Linked DNA regions of Solanum lycopersicum. The protein of the gene in region 1 interacts with the protein of each later gene in a pairwise test. Links are inferred from orthologs where the notes say so. Each region holds a gene or a part of one and is shown in the gene's direction. Other genes may lie near its edges.

What was found.
Region 2: the proteins of protein BREVIS RADIX (region 1) and CBL-interacting serine/threonine-protein kinase 9 interact in binary tests that used the Arabidopsis thaliana proteins (3 or more experiments, as listed by UniProt). The link is inferred for Solanum lycopersicum from reciprocal best matches to the Arabidopsis thaliana genes BRX and CIPK9.
Region 3: the proteins of protein BREVIS RADIX (region 1) and FKBP12-interacting protein of 37 kDa interact in binary tests that used the Arabidopsis thaliana proteins (3 or more experiments, as listed by UniProt). The link is inferred for Solanum lycopersicum from reciprocal best matches to the Arabidopsis thaliana genes BRX and FIP37.
Region 4: the proteins of protein BREVIS RADIX (region 1) and GWD interact in binary tests that used the Arabidopsis thaliana proteins (3 or more experiments, as listed by UniProt). The link is inferred for Solanum lycopersicum from reciprocal best matches to the Arabidopsis thaliana genes BRX and SEX1.
Region 5: the proteins of protein BREVIS RADIX (region 1) and MAPK12 interact in binary tests that used the Arabidopsis thaliana proteins (3 or more experiments, as listed by UniProt). The link is inferred for Solanum lycopersicum from reciprocal best matches to the Arabidopsis thaliana genes BRX and MPK20.
Region 6: the proteins of protein BREVIS RADIX (region 1) and protein GRAVITROPIC IN THE LIGHT 1 interact in binary tests that used the Arabidopsis thaliana proteins (3 or more experiments, as listed by UniProt). The link is inferred for Solanum lycopersicum from reciprocal best matches to the Arabidopsis thaliana genes BRX and GIL1.
Region 7: the proteins of protein BREVIS RADIX (region 1) and thioredoxin-like protein CDSP32, chloroplastic interact in binary tests that used the Arabidopsis thaliana proteins (3 or more experiments, as listed by UniProt). The link is inferred for Solanum lycopersicum from reciprocal best matches to the Arabidopsis thaliana genes BRX and CDSP32.

Annotation. Positions count from the first base shown.
Region 1 is NC_090807.1:62,148,378-62,152,540, reverse strand, and holds the start of protein BREVIS RADIX, read left to right. Parts: upstream 1-1,363; 5' UTR 1,364-1,671; intron 1,672-3,679; 5' UTR 3,680-3,715; coding exon 3,716-3,832; intron 3,833-4,163. UniProt on the Arabidopsis thaliana protein: Acts as a regulator of cell proliferation and elongation in the root and shoot. Regulates roots architecture and primary root protophloem differentiation.
Region 2 is NC_090804.1:62,292,181-62,296,244, reverse strand, and holds the start of CBL-interacting serine/threonine-protein kinase 9, read left to right. Parts: upstream 1-1,264; 5' UTR 1,265-1,376; coding exon 1,377-1,571; intron 1,572-1,923; coding exon 1,924-1,986; intron 1,987-2,287; coding exon 2,288-2,359; intron 2,360-2,429; coding exon 2,430-2,537; intron 2,538-2,630; coding exon 2,631-2,711; intron 2,712-2,832; coding exon 2,833-2,886; intron 2,887-3,200; coding exon 3,201-3,326; intron 3,327-3,429; coding exon 3,430-3,519; intron 3,520-3,883; coding exon 3,884-4,006; intron 4,007-4,064. UniProt on the Arabidopsis thaliana protein: CIPK serine-threonine protein kinases interact with CBL proteins. Binding of a CBL protein to the regulatory NAF domain of CIPK protein lead to the activation of the kinase in a calcium-dependent manner. Involved in K(+) homeostasis under low-K(+) stress.
Region 3 is NC_090802.1:59,708,002-59,710,926, reverse strand, and holds part of FKBP12-interacting protein of 37 kDa, read left to right. Parts: intron 1-401; coding exon 402-466; intron 467-566; coding exon 567-644; intron 645-1,305; coding exon 1,306-1,353; intron 1,354-2,925. UniProt on the Arabidopsis thaliana protein: Probable regulatory subunit of the N6-methyltransferase complex, a multiprotein complex that mediates N6-methyladenosine (m6A) methylation at the 5'-[AG]GAC-3' consensus sites of some mRNAs.
Region 4 is NC_090804.1:305,270-309,486, reverse strand, and holds the start of GWD (glucan water dikinase), read left to right. Parts: upstream 1-1,417; coding exon 1,418-1,678; intron 1,679-2,337; coding exon 2,338-2,379; intron 2,380-2,496; coding exon 2,497-2,606; intron 2,607-2,702; coding exon 2,703-2,781; intron 2,782-2,875; coding exon 2,876-2,967; intron 2,968-3,048; coding exon 3,049-3,202; intron 3,203-4,217. UniProt on the Arabidopsis thaliana protein: Mediates the incorporation of phosphate into starch-like alpha-glucan, mostly at the C-6 position of glucose units. Acts as an overall regulator of starch mobilization.
Region 5 is NC_090806.1:66,716,894-66,719,927, forward strand, and holds the end of MAPK12 (mitogen-activated protein kinase 12), read left to right. Parts: intron 1-115; coding exon 116-265; intron 266-351; coding exon 352-507; intron 508-619; coding exon 620-831; intron 832-914; coding exon 915-1,016; intron 1,017-1,668; coding exon 1,669-1,838; intron 1,839-1,942; coding exon 1,943-2,397; 3' UTR 2,398-2,534; downstream 2,535-3,034.
Region 6 is NC_090801.1:62,847,449-62,850,850, reverse strand, and holds protein GRAVITROPIC IN THE LIGHT 1, read left to right. Parts: upstream 1-1,370; coding exon 1,371-2,801; 3' UTR 2,802-2,902; downstream 2,903-3,402. UniProt on the Arabidopsis thaliana protein: Required for red (R) and far red (FR) light-induced and phytochrome-mediated deregulation of negative gravitropism leading to randomization of hypocotyl growth orientation.
Region 7 is NC_090803.1:67,684,140-67,688,118, reverse strand, and holds the start of thioredoxin-like protein CDSP32, chloroplastic, read left to right. Parts: upstream 1-1,179; 5' UTR 1,180-3,337; coding exon 3,338-3,766; intron 3,767-3,979. Other genes in the region: F-box/kelch-repeat protein At3g23880, read left to right, coding at 1-862. UniProt on the Arabidopsis thaliana protein: Probable thiol-disulfide oxidoreductase involved in resistance to oxidative stress. May participate in the reduction of alkyl hydroperoxides derived from oxidative stress by acting as a physiological electron donor to the BAS1 peroxiredoxin.

The DNA of each region.
Region 1 (4,163 bases):
AATACTCAAAACAGCTTATTTTAAGTTAAAAAAAACTTATTTTAAGCCAAAAGTTAAAAGCTGGTGTTGGGGTGCTTTTTTTCCCAGCTTATAAGCTGTTTTAAGTTGACCACATTTTTACCTTTTTGCCCTTAATATTTTTATACAATCTCCAAATTATCCACGTAACCCTAACATCTCTTTCTTCTATTTTTCCCTTTTCACGTGTGGATAATAGACAATTACTATTACTAATGAATGAAAATAAAATAAACCTTAAATCTTTCAAGTGATCTATTCAAATTATATATTATTAAAATGTAAAATAAGTTGCACATATAACTTAAATAAAAATTTATATTCCTCTTATAAATAATTTGTGATAATAAAGAAATATGTGAATGATAGACAATTATTATTACCTATGGATGAAACTAAAATAAAATATTAAATCGTTCTTTAATCTATTCAAATTATACATCTTTAAAATCTATAATAAGTTTATATTCCTCTTATAAATAATTTGTGATAAGAAATAAATATGTGAATGATAGCAAAATATAATTATTTATGGCTATAAAATATAAATTAATTAACTTTTATTATGTTAACAACTTTTAAGGGTATTTAAGACATTTTGATTTAAAAAGCTGTTTATCAGCACTTATTTGCCAAACACATCAACAACTTTTTTTTTAACTTCAGCAATTTTATCCAAACGCACAACTGCTTATTTTAAAAATAAGTTTCAGCACTTTCAAAATTACTTTTTTAAAGCTACTTTTATTAAGCTCATTCAAACGGGCCCTTAATTTTGAATAAGTGACTGAGAAATCACTTCCAGTTCACTTTTACTTTTTCCTCTATTAAATAAATATGCTCAGAAAAGCAGTAAAATAAGTGGAATCAAGCATGTAATAAAAGTAATTCATTTTTAAAATTAACGTTTAAATTAAATCGGAATTAACAACACGAAAATAAATTACTTTTTTTTATGACAAAAATTAAAAGACAATGATTTGATTGTTCTTTGATCCAATAAAATTAATTTCCTAATTCCCCAAACCAAAATATTTATTAAAATTTTTTCGAGGTTGACCCACTCTTTAATAATACTTCTAATCAAATCAAACAACGCCACGTGTACAAACCTCGACATATGGGCCATCATGTCTTCCCCAATCAAGACCACATTTGATCCATTTGTCCAAATGACAAAACCCTTAATAAAGTCCAAACCCTTAAAGCACAATGTACAACCAAACAATGCATTGTACCCCCTTTATATCCATTATATAAATACACGGTTTCCGTTATATAATAACGACAGAATTTGACGGCGTCAGTTCCTCCTATAAATACCTCTGCAAATTTTCCAATGTTGTTTTCTCTTACTTTGTCTTCACTCTATTTTTGTGCTTTTTTCATTACATTTACATATATTCTCCATCTTCTTTGTTCTTTCTCCCTTCAATTTTTGTTTGTATTTGAAATTTTATCAAATTAAAAAATTGTCGCCGGAGACTCGCCGGCTCCGGTGAATATTTTTCTGGTGATTTGGTTATATATTTCTTCAAGATTTGCAAAAGGGTATCCAAAAATAGCAAAAAGGAAGAATTTTGTTGAAGACATTTTGAATATTTACTGAAGGATTTAAGCTCAGTTTCTGCAAATTTTGTTGTCCATTCCGAGGTATGAATACCCTTACAAAAAATTGCTTTTCGATTTGCTTATCTTACTTTTCATTTTAGTTTTTTTAAAAAAAATTCGACAACTCTTTATTTAATACGTACATCTTAACAGTGGCGTAGCCACATATAATGAAAAATGGTGAATTAAACACCCTACAACGGAGACTTATATTATATATATATATATATATATATATATATATATATATAAATTTATTTAAAAAATATATTAATTCTTGAATGCTTACCGTGAAACACATTTTACAAATCTTTAGAACTCGTTTGGAATGATTTTTCATTTTTAAGTTATAAGTAAAGAAAAAAGCTATAAGGTAAAATTATGATTTTGTCTGATTTTAGTTTAAAAACTAAATGTTTATAAGCATTTTTACTAACTTACACAGATGCTCTAACAATGTTTGAATCTATTACCTCGAAAACATATAAAATAAGTCAATACAAACAGGTTTTTAAGACTAAAACTATGAGATTTAAAAATATTTTTCAAATCTCATAAATATTATTTCGAGTCAAAATCAAATAAACAAATTAAAATCGACACATAAAACTAATTTTTTTTTTGTTTTGGAGGGTTGGGTCACTATCAAGAGTGTTTGTCTGTATGTAGAATCAGTGGCCGCTTTCAAAACTCGACAATGTCTATTAATTTATACAGCGATTTATCATTCATTCTATACTCTGCTCCTACTCCTATTTTTTTCCACTTTTTTTTTTTTACTTTTTTATTTTATTTTTAAAAAATATGTTATAATTCATTAATAATGATGAATTATCTGTCAGAAAATTCGGCTCTGGTCATTGATAATTTTTTTTAAAAAAATTAAGGTCTGTTTTTTCTTCTTCTTTCTTTTAATTATGAATTTTCTTTATTTATCTATACATTAAAGCAATGTTACAGAATGAGTTTTTTTTTTTCTCTCTTTAATATATTAACAAACACATACTCTTTTCCCTTTCTGTTTTAACTTCTTTTCTTTTTGTCTTTTGGTAGATAAATTACAACATTCATGTATTTATTTTTTCATTAACTTCATTTTTAAAAACAACTTCTTTTATCTATAAGATAAAGCTAAGATATACGTATATTTTATATCATACTTTGTAGGACTACATTCGGTATACGTTAGAGTTTTCTTCTAATATTTGAGTTATTTTTCATTTAGAGAATTCGATTAGGTCAAATGAACACTGTCCTCAAGTAACTGTTTGTGTGTGTATAAGTATATATATATATAGGTAACACAGATCCCGCTTTTTTTTTTTGTTTCAGTCAAAAATCTATTGAAAATAATCTTTTATGTATTTCCAAAGTGCGATGTATATTCAAATTTCTCTATTTTATGATATCATACTAAATTCGTTATTGTTGTCGTAGAATTAGTATTAAGATTGTCTGGTTTTTATGTGACTAAAAATTGTCAATGTTTTACATTATTTTCCAAGAAGAAAAACAAAAAAATGTATACTAAATTGTTTCTCTCACTTTTCATTTTAATTTTGTTTCAAACAAACTTTGCTTTTTATATTTAGTAAACTTTTTAAAATTCAACATCTCATCTAACATACATAAGTTAGATAATAAGATTCAAATTTGCAACTTCTGTTAAATTATGCTAAAATTATAATATTCAAAATTCTCTCTCACAAACGTAACGAAATATCCGTTTTTGTTATAAATATATGTTTAGTGAATTTTTTTTGGCATAATACATATATTGGATCCTAAATTTGGCTTCAAATTTTAACTTTGACATTCAACTTTCATAATGTACAAACAGACACTTTAACTATCCAACTTTTGAATAAATAAACTCATGAGTCCTACATGACACAATACATGTAGGACAAAAAATGACATGTGTGTATTTGTTCAACTTTATACATGTTTAAGTGTCTATTTGTGTACGCCCAAAGTTAAAAAAGACATAAATTTAAATGTATTATATCTTTTTTTTTTACTCTTAACTCATTTTAATTATTTTTTGTAGGAGAAAAGATATAGTAAGGGAGAGTGTAGGAGAAGGATGTTGACATGTATAACGTGTAAGCAAAAGATAGAAGATGATGGAGGTGAAGAAGGACCTCGTGGCCGTGCTCCTACTCCCCATACTAAAGATTCCATCAAAAGCCTCACAGCACAGGTACTATTTTTCTACTTTTGAAATTTCATTATAATAATCTATTTCGAATATCATATTTCATTATTATTATTAAGACGTTTGTAGTTTGAAGACGTGATTTCCAGCTCCGCGAGATAGTGATACAATTGGTATAAATTTTCCCTCTCTCAGATCCTACTTAGTGAGATTTTACTGAATATATTCCCGTTACTGATAGTAGTGAAGGCACGAGTGAGACTCTTCACTATTCAATCAAACCCTTCATTCGAGTTTTGACCCTCATTTGTATGGTTTAGAGAGGCTTATTTATCTTATAATTTCAGATGTTATTTCGATTTAATAATACCGTTTA
Region 2 (4,064 bases), on another chromosome or scaffold:
GTGAAATTGAATTCTTCGGAAACTCCTGTATGATATCGAATCAGGAACGCATGAACAATTATATAGAGAGAGTATCAAGAAATGTTTGAATCGTAGTTTCTATTAATATAAATTGAATTCTAATCTCGTGATTTAGAATTATGAGAGGATGAAACTTGCCATGTTGTTAATATAACATACCAAAAAGTGTTTTGTAAGTTCAGAACCAATGCTGCAGCAAGTGCAACCGCTAGTAAAACCTGTTTTTGATAATTAATTTTCGGTTGCAATTTTGTTTTTCTAAAATAAACAGCGTTCACTATCAACATTAAAAATCTTAAAACATTTAATATTATTATGAAAATTATCAAAATAACTTCCAGATTCAATTGTCCTTGTACACAATGGATCATTGTACATTTTATACATTTACATATGACATAATAATAAAATATATAATGTCTTCAAACTCCTCCTTAATCGATATCATTTGTAATATTAGAAAAAACACAAAATCATTATTTAATGCTAAAAATCAGTTAAAATCTTTAGTGGCGATATTATGAGCTTATATGTCGACTTTTATTATCGCTAAAAGCTTAGTTTTTAAAAGTGAATTCTAGTTAGCAACGCTTAGGTGATGGGATGTCACTAAAATTTTGAGGTATTGACTTTTAAAAATATTTGTGGTTTTTTAAAATAACATTTTTTATTTTAAAATATAACGAACGATTTAAATAATCAAATTCACATGATTCACAAGCATTTTTGACCCTTCTCTATCTTATTAATCATTTTGACATTGAAAAACATTTCACTGGTTCCAACAATACAATATGCTTCTTCTGATCTAATATAAATGAATTATTGGTATGCGGACACATTCCTTAAGAAAGATATTTAAAAACATCAATTAAACAATAGTTTGTCCAACATTATCCTTTTTTTTTCTTCTCAAACTCTTCTTAAAAGTAGAATAATCATTATTTGAGATTTAAAAATAGCTGAAAACTCCACTAAAAAAAGAGGGATGATTTATAAAAAAAATAAATTAATATTTTGTTGAACTTTGTAAAATTCATTCATTATAAATCATAAAAGAGAGAACATCAACAATTCGTTTGTACTTTGGTTTTTCGATTACCGAACATAACTAAGAAAAAGAATATTTAATTTCAATATGAGGATATTTTTACTAGAACTACACTTATTTTGGAACGGACCAGAGTAGTGGATTTGCCACTCATTTTGGAAGGCTTAGCCATGAAATTGTGGAGAAAGTCACGCATATTATTCTCTTTCTTTTCATCCAATGATTAAAATACACTCGTAAGGATTTTTTCGTTTCCTCTTATCACATTCGGTTTTCGAGGATATCTACAAGAACTCATACGATAATGAGTAGCTCAACGTCAACGTCATCGCCATTTAGTCGTAGCAGGACACGTTTAGGGAAATATGAATTGGGTAAGACATTAGGTGAGGGAAGTTTTGCTAAGGTAAAGTATGCCAAAAATATACAAACAGGTGAAAATGTAGCCATCAAAATCATCAATCGTGATCGCGTCCTACGACAAAACATTATGGAACAGGTACCCCCCTTGCCCTGTACACACATTTTGCATCCAGGGCCAGATGTAGGCTATTGCGTACGTTGGCTCAAACGTTGTATATATATGTTATGAAATTCAATAAAAATGTGAAAAAAATCAAAATTTAGAATTCAGTTACTAGCATTTGAGATCGTTGTGAAGTCAAAAGTTTTATGATGTGTAATTGAACTAGTTAGCACATAAGTAACTGTGAAAATGTACGTTGTCATGTTGTTTTTTGTTCTGAATAAAGGGAATGAAAGATGTTAGATGATGAATTTCTGTTGCAAATTTCTTTTGATTTTCGAAAGGAAGGGCGATTATGTGATCTATGATGTACTTTGATTGATAGATTAAAAGAGAAATATCAACGATGAAGTTGATCAGACATCCAAATGTCGTGAGGATCTTTGAGGTATGTCGTAAAACATACAATTTATTTGAGCATTTCTCATTTCCATGTCAAGTTATGGCGATTGAACAAGCATACACATGATTTTGCTTCCATTTTTTCTAAAGTTTTGAAGTTACACGTGCTTATCGTCTTGAGTGCTTCATATCTTTGTTATAACAACAATAACATATCCAATGTAATCTCATAAAATGGGGTTTGGAGAGGGTAGACTGTACGCAAACCTTATCCTTATCTCGTAGAGGGTAGAATATTGCTTCATATATTTGTAATTCTCTTTATTCTAACTCTGGTTACATATTAGGTTATGGCTAGTAAGACGAAGATCTATATTGTCCTCGAGTATGTACATGGAGGAGAGCTCTTTGATGAAATTGTAAGTTTATTTTTATAAGTTTTCGCTTGTATTGCAACGAGAATGTCCTTATACATAAGATATATTACAGGCTAGACATGGAAGACTCAAAGAAGATGAAGCTAGAAGATACTTTCAACAGCTTATTAATGCCGTTGATTACTGTCATAGTAGAGGTGTTTTCCATCGAGACTTGAAGGTTTCTGACCCTTGATCGCATTCTTTTAGATACCAAATTTTTTTTTATCTTCACGATTTGGCTAGTATTAATATTGAGTTATGCGATTTGTAGCCTGAGAATCTATTGCTGGATTCATTTGGTATTCTGAAAGTTTCAGACTTCGGATTGAGTGCACTTTCCAAGCAAGTTCGAGTAAGTATTCTGTACGATTGAAAGAGGTTAAAGAGTATATAAAGAGCTATTCACTCTGTCCCTCACTTCAATCGTATTCACTTTTTAGTATTATTGATGGAATACTCTCAACGTTATTCAGGACGATGGACTGCTTCATACTGCTTGTGGCACACCTAACTATGTCGCCCCTGAGGTAACAACAACCTTAAGAGTAGTCATTACTAGTTACTCCCTCCGTTTCAATTTGTTTGTCTTGCTTTCCTTTTCAGTCCGTTTCAAAAAAGAATGTCTTTTTCCTTTGTTGGCTAACTCTTTGATCCTAACTTCCGACATGAGATGTTTAAGACTGCAAGATTAAAGGACATTTTGGCGATTAAGATCACACAAATCATAAGGCTTATTTATTTTCTTAACTGTATGACAAGTCAAAACCAGATAAACAAATTGAAACGGAGGGAGTAGTTGTATCTTACTGTTTGCTGTCTTTAACAAGAAGTGTTGTATCAGGTGCTAACTGACAAAGGCTATGATGGTACAACAACTGATGTCTGGTCCTGTGGAGTCATTCTCTTTGTTCTAATGGCTGGATACTTACCTTTTGATGAGCCAAACCTAAATGCTCTATACCGAAAAGTAATTTCTGAAAGTTTCAAATGATCAGAGATGTTTCTGGAATTCTTCGTTCGTTTATTTTCAGAATGTTGTCTGAATAATTTTGCATGTATATTGCTGTCAGATCCTGAAGGCTACGTTTTCACTTCCACCATGGTTGTCCTCCAGCTCAAAGAATCTGATCAACCGTATTCTTGACCCGGATCCACTCACAGTAAGTCCCTTTTATCTTTGCTTAATTTACTGTCTAGAATGAGTTATTGACATGATACATAAACAGACGGTTTCAACTGGCAAGTAAACACTCCAACTTTGAGTATGTGTATCTAGACGCACCTCAACTCGTCTCCATTGTATAGTTGAACACTCCACTTACAGAATGATTATCTATACACCTCTAAATTTATGTGTCACTTCAACAATGGGTGTCCACGAGATATAGTGGGGACGAGTTAGAGTGTTTAGTTGTCAGTTGAGACTAAGTTGAAGTGTGTTGGTGTGCAATCCTCTCCAGTTGAGGTCAAGTTTGAGTGTCTATTTATGTATTACGATGAGTGATTTCTGATCTTTTGTTTTAGAGGATCACTATTCCAGAGATCCTCGAAGATGAGTGGTTCAAGAAAGATTACAAGCCGCCTCCTTTTGAGCAAGACGAAGATGTCAATCTTGATGACATTGATGCCATATTCAATGGCTCGGACGTAAGTCACATTTTCAACTATGTTTATAATCTGTATCGAGAACCAAACATCGTGTGTC
Region 3 (2,925 bases), on another chromosome or scaffold:
CAAAATCCTGTTCCTTTCTTCTTGTTTTTTTTTATCTTCGTGTTTTCCCCAATTGATGCTGTATGTTTGAGAGTCCTACATCATTAATAAAAGAAGCACCGTATTTTAGTTTCCTCTCCCATTTGTTAGATGATATGGTTCTGAAAGTGTTTGGAGTTATATGGGAAAGTTTGACTTGTTCTTTAAATAATACTTAGTAGACTAGTGTGATGCTTCCACCATCACATCACTGCTTAAAATTGAATTGTTTAAATTCCATGTGTTATTATTATTATTTTTTTTAAAAAGAGAGCGAGATATCATTCATGTTCATCATTTCGGGAATGGAAAGATCTTCATGTTGATTGAGACGGAGTGGTTTCTTTAATTCTGAAGAGAATTAACTCTGTGCTTATTTGCAGAACCCAAGTTTGTGGTCAGTTATCTTCAGAACATCAGATCATCTGAGGAGTCATTGCGTGAACAGGTTTTTTATTTATTTTTATTTTTTATTCCTCTTTATTTGTTCATTGCTAAAATATTATTGAAGTTTTTTCTAATCATTATCTCATCTTTGCAATCTGTAGTTGGAAAGAGCAAAGAAAAAGGAGGCTGCATTTATTGTTACTTTTGCCAAAAGAGAGCAGGAGATAGCAGAGTTGAAGGTAAACTTGTCCATGTACATCAAATGATGGATTGCCTGTATAACAGATTAATTTTGAACTATCTTGTATACAATTTGTTTTTCTTTTGCGGCTATCTCAACAAAATTGAGCAGGATATTTGAACATGTTATCTTACTATATGGTGCAACCATGCAAGAAAACTATATGGAGCAAAAGATAATGATTTCACTAAGAAATTGAACTTTGAGTTTGTAGATGCTATCCAAGTTGCCAACTGTATGTTGTACTTTACTCTGAGAAAATGTCTCATCTTTATGGTGTGCAATGAAGCTTGCGGCCTACATTTTAGGGTAAACAAAAGCCTACTGCTAGTCAGATAATCTTTCATTTTCATTTTTGTCAATTGAAGAGATCTGTTATCTAATCAATACTAGAGATGCCCTTATGTTATACATCTAGTTTTATCCTCGACAGAACCTCTGATCAGATGTCATGTCTTTCTTCTCTTGGGGTGAGGCGAGTGAGAAGGCAATGGAATGTTGTTTTTTTAAATCCTTTCTTGTATGTATAGTATTGGGTGCTCTTTCCTTCATCTTTAGTTGCCTTTGTTTTAAAATGTATATATCCAATTCATTGTTTTCTCTTTACTTTGTGCTGATCAATTCTTTCTTCTTACTTTTTCTACTGGTGAATGTTTTAGTCTGCAGTTCGGGACCTTAGAGCTCAACTCAAGCCGCCATCTATGCAGGTAGTAGTAGTATCTTTGCTTACTCATTGTATAAAACCCAAAAAAAGGAGGGAGAGAGAGACTGTGAGAGTGTGTTATGTGCTATTCCCTGCTGTTGTTCAATTGTTTTGGTGAATTTTTCCAATTTGCTCCTTTAAAAAGGAGTTCTATGTGTGTAATCTCTGTGTTGTATGTAGCTTCTTTTTGTTTCACACAGTAAGTTGCTCATTCTGGTCATTTGGTTGTTGCTTTGCTAATTTTATGCATTCTGCTTAAATAATAAAATTGTTAGCTGGTGCTAGTTCTAGTTAAGGAATCTTACCAACCCGCTACCAACCTTATGCCCACATATTGGCCTGAGAATCTAATTCTCGTGTTAACACTTGTAACTCTAGTGCTGATCTCAAGGTTCTAGAATACCTATCAATTCCCAGTATACTCATTATGCTAGAAAACCACATAGCATATTGTTAGGGTTGTATATTGTAAGTTAGTATCTTGGGGTGGGGGTGAGGGGGGGGGTAGCTCAATTGACGAAGGTTGAGGGACTTGGTTCTTAGGTCACAAGTTTGAGCTGTGCCAAGTGAACTTAATCCAGTATTTAAGTGTAGAAGGTAGAGGGGTGGCCCCCTCACCCTTGAGTTTCAAAGGCTGCAGTTTTTGGTTATAGTTAAATGTAAGTTAGCAAGGGAATCAAGAAAGGAATGGTTTCATTTGTGTTTCTATTTTGTTGATACTTTTGATGCAAGTTCAGCTTTTCGCTTCCAGACTAATGGAGGAAAGATAACTGAAGGGTAAGAGCAGCATTTATCTACCATCAAACTGGCTGATAAGATAAATCTCCTTAGGAACTGCATATGGTGGCCTGTACCTCTTCTCTGCTTGAATCATTCTGCTTAACCCTAATGTACATCCTACCAGCTGGATTTGGGTCTTTAGTCTTTACGAAAAGATTGAGTCTTCAGTGGCTACTTGTTTCTTACTATCTATGCTACTAATTAAGGGGCAGATTTGTTTTTATTGTAATTAATTTATGAAGCCTGCACTATTTTCCAACAACACCCTCATTCATGATCACACAATTATCAAAAAGAGAGAAGATGTTAAAATTGTTACTGCATTTGATGGGTGATGATTTCCTTGTAGTTCAACTCTCCTTTGACAAGTATGCTCACAATCCGCATCAGCATCATAAATTTTTCCTCCTATTTTCTATTCCCATATCCTATTTTTCAAAGTTCATATTCATTCCGAGTTGAATTTACCAAGTTTGTATTATGCGTACATGCTTATGCCCCCTTAACTAGTTCTCTAAGATTTTGGTTCAAGTTTGCTCAATGAATGGCCTAAGAGATCTTCATGTTAGGTGAGAACAGATGATACTAAGAACAAAGTTTCAAGGAATGGATATAGTTCCATTAATTTTTTAAAAACAGCTTCCTTCTACTCTCTTTTTGCTTCTTTTTGAAGGTCTCCAGCATGTCCTTAATGCTGAGGAATACAACATTATCAATTTTTTAAAAAAATCCAGAAATTTAGAAGTTACAACCAGAGTTATGGAATTAAAACCTTTCTGTTTTTTTTTCTCTTTAT
Region 4 (4,217 bases), on another chromosome or scaffold:
AAGGTAGTTTCAAGATTATTGAAACTGCTTCATCTTCATAAATTTATAAATGAGTACTATTACTTTCTCTCTTTTGATTTGATTCAAGGGTCAAAATGTCTTTTTCACTCTTATATATTATCGTGTGCTAAAATTTTGGGACACCACGACTTACTCTCATTTAATGTCTGCCTATAGATCTGTAAAATTGATAGGCCATTTCTTCCTTTAATTTTGTTTTTTCTTTCCACAATTCTATCTTTTTGTCTTGGGTACTGTTTATTGGAAAAGTTTTCTTATATACGTTCCTTAATATTCACGCACTTTTTTTTTTGAATAAGATCAAGTTCAACATTTATTGGATTATTATACCTTTTTAAAAAAAAAATATAATAATAATTACATAGCCTATCTTATTAGGTTCAACCATGGTATATATAGTTGTTTAGAAGCCACAAATAATACCTCAATTCCATTTACTAAAGATTTTGTTGGTGTCATTTATATAACAAATATTGTTTCTAGTCTCTCTCTTCAAATTTGTAATTATTTTATTTAATTTTTTCGTACTAGATAATATAAAAAAAATTTATGCACTAAGAATTAAGAAAATCAATCATTGAAAATTAATTCAATTAGCCAGAGCTAAGAATAGAAGTCTCGTAATTTTTAATTACTTGTTTAATTTTATTAATTATAAAATGATTTTTTCTTTTTGATTTGTGAAAAAGTTCGAAGAAAATATCAAAGAAAAAGAAGAGGTTATAATGAAATTTCGACAAAACTCCAAAAATAACCATTCAAATTGCTCTAGTACGCGGGGCCCACGCCGGCTCCATCTCCCGCAATTCCATAACCAATCCTTCACCACCATAACTCATCTCAAAACTCATTTTCCCTATAATATAATATAATATAATATAATATCATATCATATCATATCATATCATATCAAATACTTTTCCTTTACGTTATTTCACTACCACTTTCCACTCTCCAATCTAAGCTGAATTTGAGGTAAATTTCTACTCTACTTTGATCTGACAACTCCAACATTTTTTTTATCTGAAAATTTGTCTTTCGATCGAATTTGGTGTTGATTTTCATGGTTTAATGTATATAAACCCTAAGCTTAATTTTTCAAATTCAAGCTCGTCTAATTGCAGCATAGCATATTTCGTTTGGTCATTTTTCTATTCGACACAAAAAACTAAACAAAAGTGGGGAAAATGTGATTGATCACCGATATACATTTAATTAGTATATTTCTGTATTGCTTTGAAGGAATTCTGGATTTGGTTGATTCCTTTTTAAAACTCACAAAAAATTTTGTTGCACTTTACAACAAGAAAACTGAAAAAATACTCATTTGATTATTCATGAACGGTCCATTGCTTTTGTATTGATTGATTTTGTATTTTATTAGCAGTGTGAGAAGATGAGTAATTCCTTAGGGAATAACTTGCTGTACCAGGGATTCCTAACCTCAACTGTATTGGAACATAAAAGTAGAATCACTCCTCCTTGTGTTGGAGGCAATTCTTTATTTCAACAGCAAGTGATCTCGAAATCACCTTTATCAACTGAGTTTCGAGGTAACAGGTTAAGAGTGCAGAAAAACAAAAAAATACCAATGGGAAAGAAGCGTGCTTTTTCTACTTATCCTCATGCTCTACTTACCACTGATACCTCTTCTGAGGTAAATGCCCAACCTACCTATATGACAAGATGTGATTTTTATCTAGTTACAATTCAATCAGCTCCTCAACTGGATAATGTTTTCTCATTTATTAGTACATAGTTATCCCGTTTCTTGAATGTTTTGGTCATCATTTACTGCATATAGGCAGTTCTCTTCCTCTTTCCGATTTCGTCTGCTTGATTGCTTAGAAACCGGCTACTTAGCTTGGTTACACTCTGCATAAATGCGGATGATTCCTATAAGATAACTTGAACTTATCTTGTCCCTTTTTCGTTTCTCTTAATATTTCATTCTTGCATTATATTTGTTGCTGGAGTGGGACTCTCCTTGAAGATCTGTTGCTATGACAGATCCTTGTAAGTTCTAATATGAAATCATAATTGAGAATAGATGTCTAATTTTTCCTTTCAGTACTATCATATCCAATAAAAATAAAACTAGAGTTCGACATAGGAAACAAATACTGAATAGTTTATGTACTATGGGAATGTATAATGAGGTGAAAACAAAAGACAGATGTCATTTATTGGTAAATATGGAGCACAAGACTTGTAACTCAGAATCTTTCTCAAAAGGAAAAAAAAGACTCATAACTCAGCATCCATGACGCCGTGCAAATATCTTTCTAATATTACCTATTTTAAATGTTTTAACAGCTAGCAGAAAAGTTCAGTTTAGAAGGGAATATTGAGCTACAGGTACATATGTGGGACACTACCTTTGCAAAACTAATTTTTTATTAATGACTTTCTTGTAAAAGAGTCAGCCTATATGTCTTATGCTGGCCATACAAATTTTCTTCTGCACTATAACAGGTTGATGTTAGGCCTCCCACTTCAGATGATGCGTCCTTCGTGGATTTTCAAGTTACAAATGGTAGTGATAAACTGTTTTTGCACTGGGGGGCAGTAAAGTTCGGGAAAGAGTAAGTTTAATTACAAATTGAACTGTCATCATTTTGAGAGACTTAAGCTTGTGATGACTAATCATCCTTATATTATTCTCTATATGATTATCTTAGAACATGGTCTCTTCCTAATGATTGTCCGGATGGAACCAAAGTGTACAAGAACAAAGCACTTAGGACTCCATTTGTTAAAGTAAGTTGGAATTGGTTTTGCTGCTCTCATACATGAATGGATTAAGTTATGATGCAAAATTGATGATTTTTGGTTGTTGAAATTTTACTCTTAGTCCGGCTCTAACTCCATCCTGAGACTGGAGATACTGGACACTGCTATCGAAGCTATTGAGTTTCTCATATATGATGAAGCCCGAGATAAATGGTAAATGAGTATCTTTGTGAAGGAACAGCATAGCATTATGGTTAAAGAGCTGCATGGATTTCACCTCTGTTTCTTCTTCAGGATAAAGAATAATGGTGGTAATTTTCGTGTCAAATTATCAAGAAAAGAGATACGAGGTCCAGATGTTTCAGTTCCTGAGGAGCTTGTACAGATCCAATCATATTTGAGGTGGGAAAGGAAGGGAAAACAGAATTACACTCCTGAGAAAGAGAAGGCAAGTAACTTATTCCTTTAGTCCCACACCTTTCTGGGGAAGTCATACTGCAAGTTGTTGGTAGCTAACATCACTGAGTTGATCATTTCAAATTCTCAAGCCTTTATTTTCTATTGACCGAGCATTTTGACATTGGCATATGTTGTAATTCTCAACCCTAGTTCAGGATTTCTATGGAACTTAGCTTGTCAACTATATTTCTGTGCATTCCTATCCATGAACACAAACAACCATTTAATCTTTGTTGATGTTATTTGCATGCTTTCTCAGAATATATCAACTGGTTGTTTGGTTCATGGATAGGAAGCCATAGGTGATAGGACTATTATTGCTCCCTGTTGCAGATACTGTTACTAAGGAGTCAAGGCATTGCTTTCTGATTTGCATTTTGCCCATGCTAAATACGGTGGGGTTGGTTTTAGGGAAAATTTTGTACAAGACTAGTGGTGGCTCAAGTTTACCATAAAATTGTTGTTTTAATTTTAAAAATTCTAGTCTTAGAGTCAACAATTAGGCTTTAAATTTTAATCAAGTACAATCAGTAAGCCAACTTTGACATGAAATCAAGTCTAAAGTCTATGAATGAGTATGACCAGTTCTTTTTTTTTTGTTTTCTTTTTTTAAGGTAAGAAAGGCTAGATTATTATCCAGTGTGGATGCATATAATTACAGAATGTGTAGTTAGTCTGTTAATAGCCAGGAAGTAGGAACCAGTAAAATAAAACAAAAAGTCTGTATCATCTATATAAGTAAACTACACCATAAAGCAGCAAGTTGTAAAGTAGATTATCTCAAATTGTTTGATGAATTTCTCCCAACATAAAGATATCCAATGTTTCTCTTCGTCCAGGTGACCAAAAAATATGAAGAGGTCTCATATTCCATATACTGATGTTGCTTCTTTTTCTTCCCTCCATTTCCAATTGAACAAGAATAGTTTCAGAGATTTTGCCATCACCCAAGACCCAAAATAGGGTCAATGACATGTATTGAGTTGCTAGAGCACAAAGCTAAT
Region 5 (3,034 bases), on another chromosome or scaffold:
GTTGTGAGGTCAATCACCCTTCATAGTAGAGTGTCAATTTTCCTGGAATTTGTTTATAATCATTGCACTGCATGTAGTTCTGACTATCACAAATTTTGATGGTTTCTGCTTGCAGTATACCCCTGCAATTGATATATGGAGCATAGGCTGTATCTTTGCTGAGGTTCTTACGGGGAAGCCGCTCTTTCCTGGAAAAAATGTAGTTCACCAACTGGATTTAATGACTGATCTGCTTGGAACGCCTTCAATGGATACAATTTCTCGTGTATGTGAATTCAATTAACATTACGTTTTTGACAATTTTTCCTCAAAACTTGTGTTTCTCATTAGACTTTTTTATGGCTGTTGCAGGTGCGTAATGACAAGGCTAGGAGATACCTAACTAGCATGAGAAAGAAGCAGCCTGTTTCTTTTGCTCAGAAATTTCCAAATGCTGATCCTTTGTCCCTTAAACTTCTTGAAAGATTACTTGCTTTTGACCCCAAGGACCGACCCACTGCTGAGGAGGTTCGTGTTAGCATGCCGATCATACTAATTTTGAGCTTTTCTTTTGGATATTTTAGTATAATTTGTTCTCTTGCATGGTAATTACTAATACACCCCCCACCCAACAAATCAGGCACTAGCTGATCCTTATTTTAAGGGTCTGGCTAAATCTGAAAGGGAACCATCATGCAAGTCAATTTCAAAAATGGAGTTCGAATTTGAGAGGCGAAGAGTGACGAAGGAGGATCTCAGGGAATTAATATTCCGGGAGATACTAGAATATCATCCTCAGCTGAGGAAGGATTACTTGAATGGTGTAGAAAGGACTAATTTTCTGTATCCGAGGTAGTATATTTTTCTTGACATTTGTGCATCAGCTTACTCGTCTAAACAAAGGATTACTGACTACATATTGCTTTTCCTTGCAGTGCTGTTGATCAATTCAGGAAACAGTTCGCTCACTTGGAAGAGAACGGTGGTAATGGCGTTCCAGTGGTTCCGATGGACAGGAAGCATGTCTCTCTTCCAAGGTGATTATGAGTCCTGGTGCTCAAATTTCCTCCTTTATAACATCGTCTAATCTAGGAAGAAGATCAAATATGACAACTTGGTATAAAGAATTTGAGTTGACTGGATGTTTGGTGCTATTAGGGAAACCAGTTGATGTTTCGGCTTGGGACGTTCCCTGCATGCACTTGTATTGCAATTCTGTGTTAGTTACCATTCTAGGAAGAAGATCAAATCTTTCCTTTTATATGACAACTTGGTATAAAGAATTTGAGTTGACTGGATGTTTGGTGCTATTAGGGAAACCAGTTGATGTTTCGGCTTGGGACGTTCCCTGCATGCACTTATATTGCAATTCTGTGTTAGTTACCATTCTCCAAAAAAAAATAAAAATAAAATTGCAATTCTGTGTTAATATCCTTCTATATATTTACATAGTATGTTTAATCGGGCCATCACTAGTTCAGATATTCAAATACTAGATTGCTTATTAAATTCATGCTTTATATGCATCTTAGTTTTGGCTTCAGATGTAAATTTGTATATGCAATCATACAATATCTGTCAGTCTTTGGTTTGCATTTTTTAAGATGAATGAATCAAAAGTTTATTGTATAACTTGTTTGTTTGGTGTTATTTTAAGTTAGAAATGATAACACGGTGATTCTATTGCAGGTCTACAGTTGTACATTCAAATCCAAACCCTTTGAAAGAACAGCCTATTGTTGCCAATATGAGAGACCGACAAAATGGTGAAGAGTCTTGCAGTAGAAACTGCAGAGATTCTGAAGGCCTTGCAAGTAGTCTAACAAGAACCCTACAGGCTCAGCCAAGAAATGCTTTAGGTATTTTCCGTCAATGATGAAATACTTTTCTACTTTGACTTTCTGTAATACTGTGATGTTTCCAATGATGCTCATATGGTTCACAATCTTCTATTTAAATCCAGCAGCCAAACCAGGAAAAGTTGTTGGTCCCGGTTTGGCTTATGATTCGGGAAATAGAGAAAAATATGATCCTAGGTCTCAAGTCAGGAATGCAGTAGGCCCCCCTCAGATTATGTCTTCAGTTTACAGCTACGACAGAAGTGGGGTGGTGAAACAAGAAAGGTCTGTTGAGACAGAGAGGGATATGAATTGTCATTCAAAGCCAATGGCACCATGTGGAATGGCTGCTAAGTTAGCCCCAGATATTGCTATAAATATTGATAGCAACCCATTCTATATGATGCGAGCTGGAGTTACAAAACCAGATCGTGTTGATGACCGAATCACCATAGACACAAACTTATTGCAGGCTAAATCCCAATATGGTGGAATTGGAGTTGCGGCGGCAGCAGCTACTAGTGGTGCAGCTCATAGGAAAGTAGGGACTGTTCAGTATGGTATGTCCAGGATGTACTAGAAAATACACCTCCAAAGTGGTGAAATTATGAATACATACATGTTGGGTGGGGTTGGAGAAAGTCCATCTCAGGAATGGTGGCAGAAACTCTTTGGACAAAAGGGTATGGTGGGTTGTACAGGCAGGAGAATCTGCAGGGGATCTAGTCCTATTTCCTAATTGTCAGTTTTTCCTAGTTGTTATCACATGAAGACTATATCATATTTTCATCATGAAATTCATTTTAGTGATGGTAATGTCCCCTCCCCTTCTCCGCAACAGCGAGTCTCTTTCTGAAATTCAACGAAGCGAAAAATGTCCCTCGAGTTTTCTTTTTTCGATCACAGTTCGTTCCTCTCATCACGAGGCATCTGGTTTAGTGAACATATAATTTCCATGCTAATTGTTTAGGTGTTCTTTGCTTATTTGTGTACATTCTGATGCTAAAACAAATTAAAAATTGTGGCTTAATGAACCACTTTAACTACCCATACACTATAATGTACCTTCTTTTTAATGCTATAATGTACTCTCTTTTTTTTTCGTTAGTAAGTTGAATCATTTTCTAGTTCATCACGAAACATCTACCAACCAAATCAATAAAAAAAATATTCATGAAATCCAAATTAATTTAATATGTATTGGTAGCCAAAACTCA
Region 6 (3,402 bases), on another chromosome or scaffold:
AATTAAACACTAAAATTATTTTAAAAAAATATTTTTTATTCACCGACAAAAAATAAAAAAATAAATTCAAAATCTACTTATTTTATAAAAAAACATTTTTCATCAAAAATATTTTCTCACTACCAAGCACACCCGTAGTACTTGTATGTTTTCTTATCGAAAGATACTCGCTCCTATTTTAAAATAGGTTTCATATACAACAATTTGAAGTATGCATTTGAAAATTTAAGAAGTCCAAAATATATACTTAAGCAATTTAAAAGGTCCAAATAACAATTAAAAGAGTTCTAATTCACTCTTATCTGACTATTAAGGGCCCGTTTGGATAGGCTTAATAAAAGCAGCTTTAAAAAAGTATTTTTGAAAGTGCTGAAACTTATTTTAAAAATAAGCAGATATGCGTTTGAATAAAGTGCTGAAGTTAAAAAAAAGTTGTTGATATGTTTGACAAATAAGTGCTGATAAACAACTTTTTAAATCAAAATGTCTGAAATACCCTTAAAAGCTGTTAACATAATAAAAGTTAATTAATTTATATTTTACAGCCATATATAATTATATTTTGCTATCATTCACATATTTCTTTCTCATCACAAATTATTTATAAGAGGGATATAAACTTATTATAGATTTTAAAGATATATAATTTGAATAGATCAAAGAACGATTTAAGATTTTATTTTAGTTTCATCCATAGGTAATAATAATTGTCTATCATTCACATATTTCTTTATTATCACAAATTATTTATAAGAGGAATATAAATTTTAATTTAAGTTCTACGTGCAACTTATTTTACATTTTAATAATATATAATTTGAATAGATCACTTGAAAGATTTAAGATTTTTTTTATTTTCATTCATTAGTAATAGTAATTGTCTATCATCCACACGTGAAAAAGGGAAAAATGGAAGAAAGAGATGTTAGAAATATGTGGGTAATTTGAAGATCGTATAAAAATATTAAGGGCAAAAAGGTAAAAATTTGGTCAACTTAAAAACAGCTAAGCTTAAAAAAAAAACACCCCTATCCCAACTTTTAACTTTTGACTTAAAATAAATTTTTTTAAACTTAAAAAATGTTATTTTGAGTATTGCCAAACAACTAAATAAGTTAAAAATCAACTTTTAAGTCAGTTTGACCAGCTATTAAAATATGTTGGAATCGGAAATAAAAGATAAGGTTAGAAAAAATCACCAACAACATTTTGACTATTTTCTATGAAAGATAAGAAGAACAAGAGACAATTAATTGTAAAATAAATCGGTCCTGAATGTAAATAATAACTAAACTTGTGAACCATATCATCTTGGACTGTCAAGTCTTGTTTCACTTTTGATCCCAAAATTGCTGCTACTGTGTTAGACAATGGCCAACAAGGTTTCCAATTTCTCGGATCTGATCCAACGTGTCACTGCTTCTTGCTTGCTCCACCCACTTTCCTCCAACGGCCACATCTCTGGTGCTCGTGACGCCGACGAATCTGAAGATGACAAGTACACTACCGAAGAAGAAGAAGAAGAACACTCACCTTATGTGGAAACTCTGGAAAAATTCCAGAATTTCGAGGTAAAAAATGAGGAGATAAGAACTGAGAAAGTAAATGAAATGGAAATGCTTTTAGGGGAAGTGTTTGATGCAGTGTCGGCAATGAAGAAGGCTTACGTTAGTCTACAGGAGGCGCATTGTCCTTGGGATCAGGATAAAATGCGCGTGGCTGACGTGGCTGTGATATCTGAACTGCGAAGGCTTGGAGTGTTGAGGGAAAGATTCCGGCGGAATGTCGGCGGTGGAAGTGAAAGAGGGGACTGGAGAGTCGGGGTGGCGACGCTGAGAGAAGTGGTGGCGCCGTATGAGTCAGCCGTGGAAGAACTGAAGCAAGAGGTGAAGGCAAAGGATATTGAGATCGATGATTTGAAGGAAAAGCTAAAAACGGCGACGTTGCTTAGCAGCAATAGTGGAAAGAAAAACAAGTCAAAACGGAGAGTTAACTGCAGCAGTCAAGCTCCAGTTAATATGTCGCCGGCACCTGACCTGTTCGAATCTACAGTGAGCTCAGTAAAAGAAGCCTCAAAATCCTTCACGAGTATGCTCCTCTCTTTGATGCGCTCTGCTCACTGGGACATTGCGGCGGCAGTGAGATCCATTGAAGCTGCTTCATCTAACTCCACCACACCAACGGCGGATTCAATTGTCGGAGCCAACCATGCAAAATACGCACTGGAATCTTATGTGAACCGCAAAATGTTCCAAGGATTCGATCACGAGACGTTCTACATGGACGGAAGCTTGTCATCACTCCTCCACCCAGACCAGCACCGCCGGGAGTGTTATACACAGTACAGGGACATGAAAGCCATGGACCCAATGGAACTTCTGGGAATTCTCCCAACTTGTAGTTTTGGGAACTTCTGTTTCAAGAAGTATTTGGCCATCGTGCATCCTAAAATGGAGGAGTCTTTGTTTGGTGATTTGGAGCAGAGGCGTCAGGTACTGGCTGGGAACCATCCGAGGAGTCAGTTTTACGGAGAGTTTCTTGGGCTAGCAAAGGCCGTTTGGCTGCTGCATTTGCTGGCCTTTTCTTTGGATCCTCCGCCAAGTCACTTTGAGACAAGCAATGGATCGGAGTTTCACCCCAAGTACATGGAAAGTGTGGTGAAGTATTCCATTTCCATGGGGATAGGAGGGAGAATGGGTATGGGTCTAGTTGTCGGGTTTCCAGTTAGTCCCGGGTTTAAGCTTGGAAATGGATCAGTTGTTAAGGCTAGGGTTTATTTAGTCCCCAAAAATGGGTTTTAAGTTTGGGATGGACATAAATTAGTCATGCATTACTTGCCTTGTCTATGTATTAGTCGTATTAGTTGGTATCAAAATAAAAACTGATATATTTGACTTGGGGATCTTTTCCGTGCAAAACAATGATTGAAATTATGTCTTTTGTTTGCCCGGTAAACTTCAAAAGGTTAGTATAAGTTTTGCTCCAGTAGACTTTAAAATGTAATTTTTGCGCGGCTTTGTGAAATGAATCTACCACCTATATAATGGGTATCTTCGAACCTTAAGTTCCCTTTTACTAATTTTTGCAGTTTTGGTACAACTTTGTGCATGTTCATCTTTCTTTTCTTGTTACTGATACAGTATGCTAATATTGGACTTAGTTTATGATGCTTTGAGTAAGTTGATAAAAGCCCCTTTTTTTGGGTCTAGGCCACTGGCCGTAGGATAGAAATTCTTTGTATATGTATGACATTCATTTTCTTTTCAAGATCAGTCCTGTGAACTTTTCATGGTTATTGTTTTTGACGTTTCATTGAACATATAGGGTTCCATTGCAGCTGGAAGCTTATATTCGTTCTATATAATGTAGTCAAACAGAAGGATATAAAGAAGACTGACTTTC
Region 7 (3,979 bases), on another chromosome or scaffold:
GAAAAATTTCCGCACATATTCTCTTAATGCAATCCTGTATGGAGAATCTCCCTGTTTACCTGTTGAGCTTCATAATTTTGGTATAAGTTATTATGTTTTGTGTTCATGTGATGGATTGTTCGTTATTTCAAAAACCTGGTATAATAATGACATTGAGGATCTGTTTCTATGGAATCCGTCTATTAGAAAGTTGAGTAAACTTCCTTATTCAGGAATTGATGTGTTCAATCGTAGATTTGCTTATGGATTTGGTTATATTGAATCTCAAAATGATTACCATATTGTTGAAATTGTGGCAAGTAAACCTAGTTATCTCATTGCTGATATTAGTGTTTATAGTTTAAGAAATAATTCGTGGAAAACCATTCATGAGTTCCCAAGTATCTCTTTGCCTGAAAATGTTAAATTTATTAAAGGAAAGTTCCATTGGATCACTGGTGGTGGTAGTGGTAGTAACGCGACATGGTTCAACCCCGGAGATGAGGGGTTTGGCAATGTAGCATTGCCGAACCCAAGTGGTGACACTTGTAACTGGAAATTAGTGTCTTCATCTGGTAATCTATGTATGACTTGTGACTATAGAAACAAGACAGATGTGTGGATAATGAAGGAGTATGGACTTGCAGAGTCGTGGACTATTGTGGGTTCGATCCCTAAATTTGTAAATAAGGTGGTTTGGCCGATATTCATCTCTCATAATGATGAAATTCTATTGCAAGACGTTTCAGGTTTAGTGTGGTGGTATGTTTCACGAGATGATGACAGTGTTGATCGTCCTGAGGATCAAACACGTTGTGAATGTGACCGTGGAAGCGAGCTTAATCTATATGTAGAAAGTCTTGTTTCGCCAAATTCTCCTTGAAAAGCGAAAAGCTATGGATTGAGGAGTCTATTGAGGTAAGAAATGGTACCCCATCCATTTCTCAGTATGATATGTAAATAGACAACTCTTGTAGAATAATTGTGATTATCTTTCTTCTTGTTGTTGTTTTCCATGTTGGTGCTATTTAAACTCTGAAATATAAACTCTGTTGTGTCCAGTTTTTCATATCCTGTCTCAATTTTTTGCCAATAATAAATCTCTTCAAGTGTATCGAAGATAGCTATCTCGTTAGTGAATCCAGATGGTGCTCATATGTAATAAAACGAGACAATTGATACATAAGCATGTAAAAACAGGAATAACAAAGTGGTTGAAGTTTGGTTCAACACGAAGAGTCTAGAATCCATCGGGAATAGTCTCTCTCCGGCACAAGGTAGGGATAAAGTTTGTGTACACCCCTTAGATCCACCATGTGGGATCATAGTGGTTATGTTGTTATTGGTGTTGAGGATGAGTCATACATGTTAGAGAGTAATGAAAGAGCACCAATGTAGCTAGCAAGTTCAAAGCTGAAAGCTTAATAGGGGGACTCGAACAAGACTTCTCATTAATAATGAAAGAATACTTACCATTTCACCATAATTCTTGTTGCAAATATCAAATTATTATGTTCAATAGAACTCGGACAGATAAGAAAAATTAAAATATTAAAGCCCACTGCTGCAATTGTAAGAAATTTAGAATATACCCATACTGGTTTTAAAAATGGGCCAAGACTAAATTTTAGTACTAGGATGTTTATGTGGTCTCCAATAAGACTGGTCTTTGGACTCTACAATTGATATTGGCCTGTTAGAACCCTTGAGATTTCATGTTGATTCTCCTTTGGGCTTTTTATCCAGTCCTGTGTGGATTTCTCCTCAATTTTTATTTCTCTATTTATGTTACAGTGTTTAATTGAACAAGAAAGAAGGAAAGATTTTTGAAATACGTGATCTAAAACAAATCTAGACAACTAGACGTTCTCGATATAAATTATCTTATCAAGACTAAAATTTGAAGTTTTAAGTTAAATTGTTTCTAATAAAACATTTTTTTCTGAAACAGACTAGAAAAAAAATATGATAAGAACTAGGACTGTTCAAAATCGAATCGAAATTGATAAGCCGAATCGATAAAAAAGTTATTGATTTATAGTATTGAGTTATTGGTTTAGTGATTTTGATAACGATTTTGATTTTTTTTGTTATCGGGTTATTGGTTCTTAACGGTTTAAAGTTTTTTCTTAATAGGTTAACCGATAACCCGATAATTAATTTTCTACTTTTATTTTTAGTTGTCTCAAACACTTGATTATTCTACAAAGTAAAAGTGTTTGCTTTTGAGCAAGATGTAACTTGTGAACTCAAGTGCATGGTTTATTTGATTTGTCATTTTGTTTCAAAGTGATTTTCAATGTTTCTGCTTTTGTGTCAAATCTTAATGGTTAAATCGATAACCGAACCGATAACGATAAAAAACTGATAAATTAATAACCGATAAGCCAATATCTTAATGGTTCTATAACAATTTAGCATCTCTATAAATCGATAACCAATAAGCCAATCCGATAAACTTCAAAACCTAATAAAAACAGATAGAAAAATCGTATGCCTAACACGTCGCTTCTCATTTCAACTTTCTTACAAAATATCAAGCACTTGACATTTTAGAACTCTTAAAAAGAAAACAAATATGTCTAAGTCAAACTAAGATTATATTATCAAACCTTTTACGGCAAAAGAAATAAGCTAGTCCACGTATAATATAACAAATACATCTATTTCTATTATGTAAGAAGTGTATACATAAAATCAATAAAAATCTTCAACCAAGTCTATTAGGAGAACAAGTTTTAAATCAATGGTAAAGTCATTTTCGTAATACCTATAGATTATAGATTCGAGCTGTGAAATTAGTCGTTGATGCTTGCATAACTTTACCAAGCTGTTCAACTTTTAACTAATAGTCTATTTGGCAAAGCTTTCGGGAGGTCAAAAAATTTATTTGTTATTTTCGAAGGTGCTTTTATACATATGTAACTGCTTTTCAGAAGCTAAAAAGTAAATTTTTGTTAAAAACATTTTTTAGATAAATACAATTATAGTTTTTAAAAGTTTCATCAAACACTAATTATTCTTTAAAAATTTCTTGTCCCACAAATTATTTCTTATCAATTAAGAAAAAAATGGCCAAACAAATTACAAAGTTAATTACCTATCAAATTATGATTTTTATAAGACCCAAAGAAAATCACACATAAAAACAAAAGAAGCAAAAAATCTAGATAACTTGATATTCTCTTTATATATGTGGCTCCTATGTAACCAAAGTCTATCAAGTTGATTTTTATAGATACTCAATCCAATAGTGTCACAACCTCATATCAAACTACATTTCCATTTCTCCCTTTCTTCTAAACTTGACATCCCTCTTCCTTTTGTGGCTATTCTTGAAAAAAAAAATCTTTAATCTATGGCTACTCTCACAAATTTTTTGCTCAAACCCTCTCCAAATCTAGCTTCAATTACAAAAATTAGCCCTTCACTTTACTCCAATTTCCCTTTTGAGAAATCCAAACAATCAATTTTCAAGAACCTCAAAACAAACAAGCCCTTATTGATTACAAAGGCAACAGCAGCACCTGATGTTGAGAAAAAAGTGGCTAAAAGTGAAAGAGTACAAAAGGTTAATAGTATGGAGGAATTGGATGAAGCATTAAAAAATGCGAAAAATCGACTAGTTGTGGTTGAATTTGCAGGCAAAGATAGTGAACGTTCGAAAAATATTTATCCTTTTATGGTGAATTTAAGTAAGACATGTAACGATGTCGATTTCTTGTTGGTGATCGGAGATGAAACGGAGAAGACTAAGGCACTCTGCCGGAGAGAAAAGATTGACAAGGTAATTTTAGAAATTCACACGTATTATTACGTCTGTTTCAATTTATGTGACGATAGTTTAAAAAAATAATTACTTGTGGATCTTTATGTTACCTGCATTGAAATGGATGGAGATATACATGAAATATAACTTAATTAGTAAAAAGATTGGTGTATATCTAATATATATAATGGATTGAGTATGACTAGATCTAGCTTTCGATAAGAGGCGATT